Schizosaccharomyces pombe: one gene and its partners. Changing the gene in region 3 together with the main gene of any one other region gives a genetic interaction. Each region holds a gene or a part of one and is shown on either strand. Other genes may lie near its edges.

Region 1 (3,574 bases), on a different chromosome or scaffold from region 3:
TCTTATGGTGTGTGTAGTTAGAAAGATTAAGGTGATCCACTAGCCTTATGTAATAAGTAAACAAATAAATAATTGTGAATACAATAACAAACACTGAAATAAACAACAGTAAGTGTATTCTTTAATTTTCCAAAGAAGAAGTTTTTCTTAATAAAGGTATTCTTATTGATCCTTTTTTATTGTTTTTTTTGAGAAATCGAGTAAATAATTTTTTTGGCGTAATGTGTGATTGTTAAGGTGGAGCAGCAGCCTTGGTATTAGCAATTAAAACATTCGTTCAAATTCTATCATTCAGTAACAACAAAAAATAATTATAGTTGACGAGTCAATAGAAACACTATGAACCTGACTTTTACTCTATATTAATAATCAAATATAGAATAAATACATAGTGTTCCATTACTTGCTATCATACTATGCTATTGAACTTTTATTTATATCTTAAATAAAATCTTTTAGAACTTTTAAGAACAAGTATGTACTTATGTTTGTATAAATATTAAGAACTCATTACAACAAATGAGTCCAATGCAAAAGCTGGCGTTGAGCCAGTAATCTAATTGCCGTCTTTAACTTATCATGAACATTATTGTATTTTTCACATACTATTCTATAAATGAGAATATTACAAAAACAATGAGTTATTATGCTCCTGAGTTGTAATGTACTTAGTTTGCTAATTATCTTCGTTCAATATCTTTGCCGCTTTAGAGAATTCCTGGAGCAAACAGTCCAAAGATTCTCTTCTCTTCTCTTTATGTTTTTCATATTCTAGGTATTCATAATCCTCTAGCTCTTTTGTAGCCTTCAAAGTAACAGTAGACGAACTTGCTTTTTTCTTAGCAAGCGACATTTCAATATGCTTTTTAAAGGATGATATATCAAAACATCGACTTCTTTTTTTCCTCTTCAGCTTCATCAGTTTGTATTGGGAGTAAGCCGATCGATCATCTGACGTCGAAGGATAACTGCAATCAGAAATATCTCGGGTGCTTCTTTGAGGATGTAACTTCAAAGGAATGAGTCCATGGTCTTTTATATCCTCGCTTAAATACATTTCTTGTTCTTTGCTCAAATCCATGATAAAACAACGACCTCGCTTCTCCTTTTCTAAATGTTCACCAATACGAAAAGTCGATCTGACTACCAACGCAAATAGCCTTCCTAAGATTGTATCAGTTGCTTCACTTTTTCAATTTCTCTTTCAAGTCTTTGGATTTCAGAAGTTTCACGCTGTAGAATATTCTCCCTAGCAGACACCTGATCGGTTTGTCGTTTTTCAAGTTGCTGCAATTGCTCTTTCTGTTCCAGTAAAACGTTTTCCAAATTCTCAATTCCTGACATATGTAAGTTGTATTTCTCAACCAGAGTCTCCAAATATTCACGGCCACCTTGCATAGGATATATATCTAGTAGTTCCTCAATACAAGCAACGTAGTCTGCAGGGTTTTCTGATGCCAACCTTTCACTCCAATCCTTCGGTAGAGATTTGAACTCAGCTGCAATTAGTTCTTCCTTCTGAGTATCGCGAATTAAATCAGTTATAGCATGAGTATGTAGCACCGCGTCTGTGAAACGTGCTGCGTTTGGGTTTTCCGGTTCCAAAAGTTTTTCTGATGTAGCAGCAATAGACTGTAAATAATTCAACAAATCAGACATTTATTTAATAAGTCATCAAAAACACTAATTCGACTCGTAATTAGTAAAAGGTATGTTTCAATTCACTTTACCAGAGTTGCCAAAAGTGTATGCAATCTCTGGGTGTGTGCAGGTGGTTTAACCAAAACGTAATAAACGTTTGGTATCTTTGATATAATGGAAATCACCTGTGCCTGTTTTTGAAATTCTGTTCTCGCTCAGCAAATTATTTTAACAAAGGTAAAGCATTGCGTTCATTCCTTGCTATTTTCCTTTATTTGCTACACCGAATCATTCTTACGTTTACGCTTTAGGCACACATTTCTTCAGCTCAGATTATCCATTAATAATTATATGTAAAACTTTTATAAAGGTTAATACACGCTAAAAATTTCGTAATCCTCAGTGCAGTTTTGATGAGTTTGCAATTGTTGGACTCTACTTCGCAATCGTGATCTAATCAAAATCTACAACTTTCTAAGTCTGCCAGATTTATAGAACTAAAGGTTTGAGAATTATCCTTCTCTTAGTTCTTTTATTCATATATACCATCTATTAAAAAGTTGCCTCTTTGGAGGCTATTTGAGGTTTTTCTGACTGAACGTTTCGTCTGTTTTTCATATTCTATCAGCCAAGTTTATTCTATTTAAATATAGATTTAAAAACTTTAATTATCTTAAATAGAAGAGCAGTATATTGGGTATAACTAACAGCTTGAAGCTCTGACATCTTAAAGTGTTGTATTAATAAAAATGCTAGAACGATGTCCCTGGAAATTAATCAGCTCGCCAAGAAATATTCCAGCTCGCTCTTTTCTTAATTCTCGTGGAACTTATCTTGTTTTAAGAAAGTCAAATATATTACCTCTTCAACATATACTGCGGTTTTCCAATTTTGCATCTAAGCAATGTTTCCCACTTAGAAATGGAAATAATTCGGCTTCAAAAGCGTTATGGAATAACAAATCAAAAGAAAAAGAGCCACTGAATACTTCTGTTAAACTTGCTTCCGATGTACCAGATGATAAAAATGTAACAGGACAAATGATTGTTAAGGACATGCTTCAATATATTTGGCCCAAGGGGAAGACTAATTTGAAAGTTAGAGTTGTTTCGGCTCTCGCACTACTTGTAGCTGCCAAAATTCTTAACGTCCAAGTTCCTTTTTACTTTAAATCAATTATCGATACCATGAATACAACACTTGTTCAAGAAGTAGGAGCATTGTGGTCTACTGTAGGAGCTGTTGTTCTCGGTTATGGCTTTGCTAGAATATTTTCTACCGTTTTTCAAGAGTTAAGGAATAGCGTTTTTGCAATTGTGTCGCAAAGCGCTATTCGAAGTGTTTCTAGCAATGTCTATCAACATCTGTTGAACCTTGACATGAATTTTCATCTCTCAAAGCAAACAGGAAGTATTACTAGAGCAATGGATCGTGGTACAAAAGGTATTAGTTTCATTCTTTCCTCCATGGTGTTACACATCATTCCTATTACCCTTGAAATTGCTATGGTGAGTGGTATTCTCACTTACAAGTACGGACCTTCGTTTTCGGCCATTGCTGCTACAACCGTTGCTCTTTATGCTCTTTTTACTGTTAGGACGACATCCTGGAGAACTGTATTCCGTCGTCAAGCAAATGCTGCTGACAGTAAAGCATCAGCCGCGGCAATTGAATCTCTGATTAATTATGAAGCCGTTAAAACTTTTAATAACGAATCATACGAAATGAGCAGATATGAAAAGCATCTTTCCGCCTACGAAAAAGCCAACGTTAAGGTAGCATCTTCTTTGGCCTTTTTGAATTCAGGACAGGCTATTATATTCTCTACCGCTCTTACTTTGATGATGTACATGGGTTGTCGTGGAATTGTAACTTCCAACCTTACTGTAGGTGACCTTGTCATGATTAACCAATTAGTATTTCAGTTGTCAAT
Region 2 (4,359 bases), on a different chromosome or scaffold from region 3:
GGATATTACGTTTTACCGGAGCCCCCTTTAAACCGAATTGATGGCCAGATTTATAATCTATGCCATTTTTGGAGTAACTTCGAAATTGCACGCTTAGACTTTTACAATAGTAAAGAGTATAATGAATATGTCGACGCATTGGAAAATGCTGGAGGATTTTGGACTGAAAGGGTATGTTTTTACAGTTTATTCAAAAAAAAAAAAGCATTGTGTTCTTCGAAGTGCAATCTTCTTCATACTTTTTTCCTATCTCTGATTACTAACTTATTTTAGTGGGGCGATGCTCCGGTGCATTCGCTAGCAGTGGGTCTTCTCCTTAATCGATCTCAAGTCCATTACTTTAGAGACCTTGGGTATCAACATTCCACAATTCAACACTGTGGTCAAGAATATGGTTGTAATTGTGATTGCCCCTTCAACATACCCGATTATGAAACTAAGCCAGGTTCTTGTATTAACGAGTGGGCATCGGTGATGGGGGGATTTTTAGATGAATAAGAGCGAATACGGGTACTTTACGCTCTTTGTATTATAGCTATTTACAGTTTCTTTCAATTCGTAGTATACATACATAGAATTTTATTTAATAAAAGAATTTAATATTTGGGTTGTTCTTTCATAAAAATAAGTTTTAAAAAACAGCAAGACAACATTTATAAAAAAGTTTATTATCATACGTAAGAAGAAAAATACCTTTAAGAAAAAAAGACTAAAGGGTAATCGTTAGGATTAAACGTTTACAAAATCGCAATAATTAAATAGTAATAAAAAAGCGCCAACCTTTGCAAGGCGAAATTTTCGAAAAGGTATATTTTTGTTTAGAAATAAAAGAGAAACGTAACGAAAAAAATAGGGAATTAGTACACAAGGGTTTATGAATACATTATCAGTAAAGCATCACGAAACCACGCATAAACGTATAAAAAATTAAGAAAAATAATAAACCAGTGGGACATGAAGCAGTCAACCTCCTAGAATCGAAAACGTAAATGTATAAGAAAAAAAAACAAAACAAACATCATCATTTCCAAAGACAAAAAAAAAAGGAGAAAAAAAATCATTAATTTACCCTGACGAAGACCAGAGACGAACACATTCGTCCCAAGAGCCAGTTGCCAACATTGTTCCATCAGAAGTTAAAGCTAAAGAGCTAATTCGATTTTCATGGCCTGTTAATGATGTGATGGTTTTGCTTGAGATGGAATCCCAAACCTCGCATGTTTTATCTTTTGCGATAAAAAGAAGTTTTCCAGACTTGGAAAATAAGACTGAATTAATGGGGGAGGATGATGGAGATGAATACTGGAATATCTCAGCAGAAGCACGAATGTCAAAGCACCGAGCGATACCATCCTCTGCACCCGTAACAAAATCAGCGTTAGAAGGAAAAAAGGAAATGGAATTAATATCCGATGTATTTCCGGGAAATGTGGCACAACAATAAGCAGCCCGAAGGTCCCAGAGCTTGGCTAATTTGTCACAGCCTCCGGTAACAAATAAATTGGGATTTGAGGGTAGGAAATCTAGAGAGACAATATCCATTTCATGACCTTTCAAAACGCTAATGGCTTTTGCCTGCTCTATGTCCCAAAACATGCAAGTTTTATCGCCAGAACCCGTAAGCAAATGACCGTCATCGACATACTTACAGCACGAAACAAATCCTGCATGCCCAACCAATTCGACCGGATCCGCATCTGGAACACTGGTATCGTATACTACGCAAAAGTTGTTCAGCCCTCCAGCTGCTATGCTCTTAGTGGAGGGTGAGAATGCACAAGTCATAATCCATACGCTTGGTGCTTCAAAGAACGCAACTTTGTTGGAAGTGTGCAAATCCCAAACTAACAGAACATCATTCGTTGATGCAGATAATAAGTACTTTCCATCTGTAGATATGTCGATGTCAGGAATTTTTCCCAGCTTGTTTTTGAGAACTCGAGTCCCTTGAATGTTGACGTTTACTCTTGACCCAGAATCCATCTTTAGAAATTGAACCAGTATTCCGTCTAATATTCATACAACAGTAACGTAACTGTTCCTATACGATATACTCACAAAGAAAGGGGAGGAAATAAGGATACTAAAGATCTTAGGAAGAAAAGCGAAAAGAATATAAATCCACCTGATAAACTACTCTCACAACAACAAATTTAGAATACTCCTACAGGGGTGCCCAACTTTAAATCCACCCTAAAGAGTAAAAAATAAAAGAAAAACAATACAAAAAAAAGGAAGAGAATAGTAATGGTGCTTCGTTTAAAGAATTGCAAGCTCTAATGTTAAAATTGGCGTTCGCCTTTGAAACAATTTTACGATGACAAGCCTCTATACAATCTATTATTCTAATACAAGCACAAAAACATAAACACCAAAAGGACCAACGTATCGTTTTTCAACAAACACAAAAAAACGGCTTTCTTCGCTTTTTTACTGGAATTTATGTAAAGAGCTAAGGTCAAAAGAAGAGTATTGGGAAACCGTCATAGTGTGTGCAGCGTAACACAAACATATGGAATACGTCATCCTCATCGTAAGCATATAATAGCCGATTCATTCTGCGGTTTTCAACTTGTAGACTACCATAACCTTGCCATACCGATAAAATTGTATGAAATGAACGTTTAGTTAATAGAGATAATAGAAAATTGAAAAACCTGCATTAGACATATATTTTTTTGCTGTTGTAGCGATTATGAGAAAAGGGTTGCTTTACCACGTTGGCTGTGTATCTGTGAAATGGCTTTGTTATAAATAAACAAGCAATTTAGTAACAGAGATGTAGATATTTTGGATATCTTTTTTATTTTGATTAAATCGTGAATATGCGATTCATGGCATATACTCAGAGTATGAGAAACGGCAGTATTGGTGTGCAACACAAAACTGTCTTGAAAGTTTTTTTGTCTCTTTCATTTTGTTCAATTTCTTTAACAATTACACTTAACATTTGACGGACAATACTTGTGTATTGGGTCGATGACTGTCTTCATTGCTTGGTGTATCCGGCGGTAAACAAAATGGCAAACATTTCTACTTTGCCCACAAATATATAGCTTCATGTGGTTGATAATGATTATTTCAGCACTGAAAATAAGAGGTTGATATACAATGAATGTGTTATTCATAAACTACACACGGTTATTAATGCCTTCTACTCCAAATGATTGCATCGATGGTTTCTGGACTGACTTAACATACAAAAATTTATTGTCATCAATGTTATCATGTGTAGCAATTGATTGGGATCTCTGCAATTTCAAATTCAGAAGAGAGATCAGTATTGTTGATGGGTTTTTTGGAAACATGCCAGTTTCTGAATTCTTCTTCTTGGATGTCAGGAATATGCAAAAGAATTTGAGCTGCCGTTATATGTAAACAATGTTGCACGACAAAACTGAACCACGGCAGCCCACTCAACGCTTGCATCAGCGATCGTGCCTTGTCGGACCATTGCTTGCAAAACCTTGAACACAATCCGATATAGTGTATTGATTTTAAGAATAAATTTAACTGCTCAACCGACATTCCATGAGCTTTGAACAATTGATTAATTGTGGAAATAGGAAATGAAAACGTTTCAATGTACAAACAGGGGGCAGATAGGACTTTTATCATATAAAGAAACTGATCTATGTTTTGAGGGCATGGGTAATTGGATCTGTACAGTTCCTCTGGGACCAATAGAGAGTGTTCTCCCTTAGTTATTTTATTTTCTAATTCGTCCTCCGAGCTTTCTATTCCGATTTGGGCGCTGGGCGAGTGATTTTCGGTATCATCCTTTGCATAAGTATTTGCCATGTAAAGCATAGACCGCATTGCTGAAAGATTCTCCTTTTTCAGTTCGCATTGCTGTCCACACAATTGGCAATTGTCGTGCACTTTCTTCCACCAGATCTTGCCACGAATTATATTAGGGTATTGTTTTCGCAATCCTACAGGTAATTGCTGAGAAGAAGCAACTCTAAGGTGTCTTAACTGCCATGTTTCTGCACATTCTCTGTAAATGTAATACACTTCCTTTAATCTATGAAGAGATTTTTGGATGTATGTATTGTTTGGGTCCAGTTCAAGTGAATGCTCCCAATCACGATTGGCTAAGTGAGGATGTCCAAGTCGCAAATAAGCTAGTCCTCTCCTCCATATCACTTTTTTATCATACGGATTGATGACTAGAGCATATGTACAGTCATGAACTACTTTAGTATAGCTGCATGCAAAATAAGTTAGTTAGCATAAAAGCAAAACTGCTGCAAAGGTTCAGACGATGTTTTTTTTTCTTTCGAGAAACCCCGTTAATAATCCAAAGGATTCTCTGAACCTTTGTGACATAGGTAATTTGTTAAATTTATTATGTTA
Region 3 (5,086 bases):
TTCCTTACTTGCATGTCTTCCTTGCTAACATTAAATTATCACTTACCTCCTTCCTTTTTCATGCATTCCTTGTCCGTTTACCCTCAACTTCACCAAAGTGATAGGCGTCCAGTAAGATTTTTATCTTTTGGCTTTTGCCTCTACTCTTTTCTCAACATGTCTTTATTTGCACTCTTATATTTGCGTGAGGTATTTACAGATTTGTATCTTTTTTTTTTTTTTTGCATGCATTTTTTGAACGAGCAAATTAAGTGGGACATACTGGTATGTTCCACCATTAAAGCGCATATATTTTTGCACCAAAATAACTTACTAAACTACATTGCGTATTTTCCTGTGATCATGGCACTTTACCTTGATATGTTTGATCTTCAAACAATCAATCATAAGCTTGACTGTTCATTTCTATTTTGATTCCTTTTAATTCTTCATCCCTTTCTTTGTTAAATTAATTTCCTTTTGTTTGGCACAGGTTGTTTAAACTTAGATTAAGATATATCTCTAGTAAATACTTTACTCATGAATTTATCCAAATACTTCTTTACATTCTTTATCATTTTATGCAAGGAATTTTCTGTAAGTGTTGTGCTTATAAATTTTTTTCTGCTGTAAAATCGTATATTCTTCAAACTTAAAGGTGAGATTAGCATGTTTACACTCGTAAAAATCCGTCATCCGGATCTGGTTTTTTGTTATGACACTTTGATGGATGACTCCCAGAGTTTCATGGTATCAAACAACTCTTTGACCTTTTGATAAATTGCTTTAGTGCACTGCTCGTGAACTGAAGCCGCATTTTTAATTGCAGAATTTTGTATGTTCGTAGGACAGTCAGGAGAATATATGGATTTCAGTAATTTCGTAAAAGGCAACATACACTCTGGAATGTATATTGAAAGAAACTGAAAAAGAGATTCTTTCGTGCCTTGATACTTAGACCATGACATAATAGTTGTTTTTGTTACTATAGAACGATCTTTCAATTCGACAGATGATTCAAAGTCTGATTGAGCTTGAAAGAGATGTAAAACGTAAGAAAAAGTTTTCGAATAATAATTTAAAGAGTTATCAGTAAATAATATCCGTAAAGCACCTATTACTTGGCATTGGAATTGTAAATCAGGGTACACATCCTCAAATTCACTAACGCTCGCAGAATCCAATGTAAAAGTTATACTCTTAGATAAAGACCTGCTCAACCCATTTTTTTCTTTTTCCATAAAAATGAATTTTTTCAATCGAGAAATAAAATTATATCTGTCATCAGAGTTCAAGTCCTCAGCCAACTCATTACGGTCAGATTTATCAAGCCTTCTTGATTTTAACAGAGAAATGACATTATCAGAGAATTCATAATTTTGAAAAAGAAAAGTGGAATGAAAAAAATTTAAAAGATCAAACACCTGAAAATCGTTTTTTAAAACTTTATATGTCGAACGTAAGAAACTGAGAATAAAAGATTGTATTGGCTCAGCAATACAGCAGCAAACATTCAAGTTAAGCGGACAGACGTTGCGCACATCATCTGTAAATTTAAGTTGTAATAAATTATCGTTGAAATCTGGAGTCATGTTCATTTTAGCAAGCAGCGTTTCAAATTCTTCACTGTCATTATTGACGGAAGTTTGTTCCAAATTACCAAAAGAAAGCGAAGAAAAGTTGCAGCGCTCCTCTATTACACAAGCTTGATTTATGTCGTTGAAAGAATATGCGAACCGAATGTTCAAAGGGTTAATAAATTCTTTGTTGTTTTTATTAAATATTTCTTTTTGTTCCCTTATTAATGACAAAAATTGAATACACTGTTCAATGCTTACACAAAGTTCAGAAGGAAAAAAACGGGGAAGTGATAAGAACAATGAAGAATCAATGTGACCATACGCACAAGAAACTTTTAAAGCAAGCTCAAGCCTTTTGAAGTAGGGATTTGAGCAATATATCAAGCACTGTAGGGCAATGGGGTAAGATATGGTATTCTGACATGAACGCGCATAATCAAAAAGAAAATCTAACAAGGAATCTCCTTTTAGGTTTTGAGCCGATTTTATTAAGAAGTGTGAAATTAACTCAAAGAATGAAGAAAAAGAATTAACAAAGTTACTTAAACCAATCAGACCGAATCTACGGAACTCATAAAGACGAAGCCAACGCTGAAACTCCTTTCGATACTGCAAGACACCATTCACAATGAAATTTGATAAATAAAAAGAAATGTTGGTCTTGTATAAAGAGAATTCATTTAAAGCTTTTTTTATTAAACCCCCAATTGCAGAAAATTTCTGGACGATACTAGCAAAACATTCATCGGACATTCCTGAAACGGAGATGGTCGGATCGAGTTCAAATGTGCTTGAGGTTTTGTTCCATGGAAACACTGTGCTTTCAAATCCTTGTGGTAAACCAGCCACGCAATTGAAAATAGTTGCTAAAGGGTAAACTTGCAGTGCAGAAAATAATGGTTTCGGACTCCAATCCTGATTATGAAGAAAATAATCATATACCCGAGAAGGCGCTTCAGATATGAATGGAGATCTAGCTTCTAAATTTTTAAAATTTTCTCCATCCCAGCTAGGGCATGTTAGCAGAACTTTGTTTTCGACAGATAAATCGCTGGGTGATGAATCTGTAAGATAAGAGGGGGACACTGAGGATTTAGCTCTTTTTCTTTCTGAAGTAATTTCCTTAGATGCGCTTATGAGTTTGGAATTGGATGATGTCTCACACCCAGGCACAGCGGGTGTTAGTTGTTGATTTGAAATATCGAGAATGACATCTTTTCCCAACAGATCATCGTTTACTTGAAATGAAAAGTTTTGAAAGTATTCCGAGGAGTCAAATAACTTCCTCTTCAATCCTTCTTTTCCCTCAAATTTCGAAAGCTGCTCGACAAAATCAGAATCAAATGAATTTGGCGTAAGGTCGAAAACGTGGTTGCCGAACCATAACAAGTCGTTTTTCATAATTCCATCCATTCCATTTTTATTTCAAAATCATCTATTTTAGTGGTACATTTCAAGATCCAACTCCTTTACTGGAAAACACTCTTGTTATGAATTACTAAAATTTGGCAATATGTGTGTAGTTAATGTATAATGTTGTTAACGTAGCGAATTAAGATGACTTCTTATCTAGAACAGTCAGGATTAGAAGATGTGAATGAAGTATGCGTCTCTTAAACTAAGAAATGGAACGTTAGTAATTGATCCTAACATTGAAACCAATTCAAAAATCCGTACTCTCGTGGCCGTACAACAGAAAATACTGACATGGAGTTAAAGGTATCCAGGATGAATAAAACAGAATGATAAATTGAACAAAAACTATCAGTTGTTAAGGAATTACTATTGCACAATTGCATAATCTATCCAAAACGACATTCCAGCATTTAATTTTAAGAGAGTGCTATGTGGATAAAACGTATCCTTTATGGAACTATAAGAGCTCTTTTATGCTTCTCTGGTTAGTACATTTAGATTTTTTTAAAAAAAAGTTTATTGTACTATTCGTGATATTATGGTTACAGTATACCTCGCTGGCTTGATCGTTTATTGTCCAGAGAGCTCGCATGCGAGTCAAAGCTGAATGAATGGTATCTTCATATAAAAAAAGTCTATTTGGAGAATTTTGGATCCTTCAACAAATTTATTTGAAGTACTTAATGTTCTTTCTTAATTTTTCTCATAAAACCATGTGTCAAGCAATGAAGGATTTAAATATTGTTGGCAAAAGAAATGTTGCAATCACTAATTCAAGTTTGTTTAGAAGCTTGCATTATATAGTTATCGACTTTTCTTTTGCCTTTGGAAAGGGATATCTTCATTATTCTTAATGAAACAGTATAAAATTCTTTTAAACACTAGACTAGATAAGTTGTTTTAATTCTTTCTCAAAAAACATAAACGACAGTCTAACTCTAAAATAATCGGGATTTTTGTGACACCAATGGTATAAAAATGATTAATTAAAAATTTTTGCGGATAACACAAGACTTTGTACTTTGTATTACTGGAAAATTTAGCTAATTAAAAAGGAGAACACATAAGCAATGTATTCTGGAGGTCAAAATCAATTGATTTTAACCTCCAAATATCAGCTTGATGTACCTTTTTTGCCATGACGATAATACATACAGGACTTTATAAAAATCAGCTTGGATTAAATGACAACCTACTTATCTAGAAATAGAATTTAAAATAAACATTCAGTACCCCCAAATCCTTTTTATAAATTAAGACTAACTATCACTATCAGATTCCAAGTTTATACTTGGCAAAGAGATATTGTCTTCCTCCTCATCATCTTCTCCGTTTCCTTCCACATTAATAGAAGTCGTTTTCTCATCTACGACATCCGTTGTTTTTTCAAAAGTTTCGACGACTGAAGAAGTTGTGTTTCCATTTTCATCACCATTTATGTTTTCAATTTGGCTTGAAACTACACTAGTAGGTCGGTCAACAAAGTCAACGTCTATAGCAGTAAATTTGGTTTCAGTGTCCTGAGAATTGTTTAATGCAACATTTGTAGTCTCCTCAACCTCAACATCTCCATGCAACAGTGAAACAGTTGTTTCCTTGTTTTCCGAAACAATGTTAATGTGATCAGTCCCGTGATTAATAGTTGAAGGTTGAGAAGAGTTGATTTCACTACCTTCTTCATTTCTGTCACCCTCATTAGAAAGAACATTAGACATAGTCAGCTCTGATTCGCTTCTTTTGTTCTCGGAGGTAGCTGTAGAATTATTCTGTAAGCCTGTATCTGTAGATGCAAAAGACTCTTTGATCCCTTCAATTTCAGTGGAATCTGTAATCGACTCTGTTTCAAAGGGAGGATTTGATGGAGCCAAAATACTACTTTCTTTATACTCTGATTGAGAATCCACCTGGGGTGGAGAAATATGCGATTGGTTTTCAAGAGAAACAGGCTCAAATCTTGACTCAAACGTATTTTCAAATTCGCTTGGTGAAAGATGTTTTTGCAAAGGTGGGAACCTAGGATGAATCAGCGATTCTATTGTTTGCATCGATGACCTTGCGTGTGAAGCGACCAGAGGATCTGGATGTACAAGCCCTAATGGACCAGAAATTAT

What was found. Genes that interact genetically often act in the same process or in processes that back each other up.
Region 1: mutations in alp16 (region 3) and spc34 together harm fitness more than expected from each alone (negative genetic interaction), as found in Schizosaccharomyces pombe (2 studies listed by BioGRID).
Region 2: mutations in alp16 (region 3) and git5 together harm fitness more than expected from each alone (negative genetic interaction), as found in Schizosaccharomyces pombe (one large-scale study listed by BioGRID).

Annotation. Positions count from the first base shown.
Region 1 is NC_003424.3:3,673,136-3,676,709, forward strand, and holds spc34 (DASH complex subunit Spc34), read right to left. Parts: upstream 1,760-3,574; 5' UTR 1,660-1,759; coding exon 1,165-1,659; 3' UTR 564-1,164; downstream 1-563. Other genes in the region: ABC family Fe transporter Atm1, read left to right, coding at 2,391-3,574. UniProt on the Schizosaccharomyces pombe protein: Component of the DASH complex that connects microtubules with kinetochores and couples microtubule depolymerisation to chromosome movement; it is involved in retrieving kinetochores to the spindle poles before their re-orientation on the spindle in early mitosis and allows microtubule depolymerization to pull chromosomes apart and resist detachment during anaphase.
Region 2 is NC_003423.3:1,461,950-1,466,308, reverse strand, and holds git5 (heterotrimeric G protein beta (WD repeat) subunit Git5), read right to left. Parts: upstream 2,461-4,359; 5' UTR 1,984-2,460; coding exon 1,066-1,983; 3' UTR 564-1,065; downstream 1-563. Other genes in the region: putative alpha-1,2-mannosyltransferase Omh5, read left to right, coding at 1-171, 274-498; mug93 (TPR repeat-containing protein), read right to left, coding at 3,226-4,210. UniProt on the Schizosaccharomyces pombe protein: Beta subunit of the heterotrimeric guanine nucleotide-binding protein (G protein) involved in glucose-induced cAMP signaling.
Region 3 is NC_003421.2:431,703-436,788, forward strand, and holds alp16 (gamma tubulin complex GCP6 subunit Alp16), read right to left. Parts: upstream 3,085-5,086; 5' UTR 2,973-3,084; coding exon 693-2,972; 3' UTR 562-692; downstream 1-561. Other genes in the region: ribosome biogenesis protein Rix1, read right to left, coding at 4,235-5,086. UniProt on the Schizosaccharomyces pombe protein: Component of the gamma tubule complex that is required for the regulation of both interphase microtubules and mitotic bipolar spindles.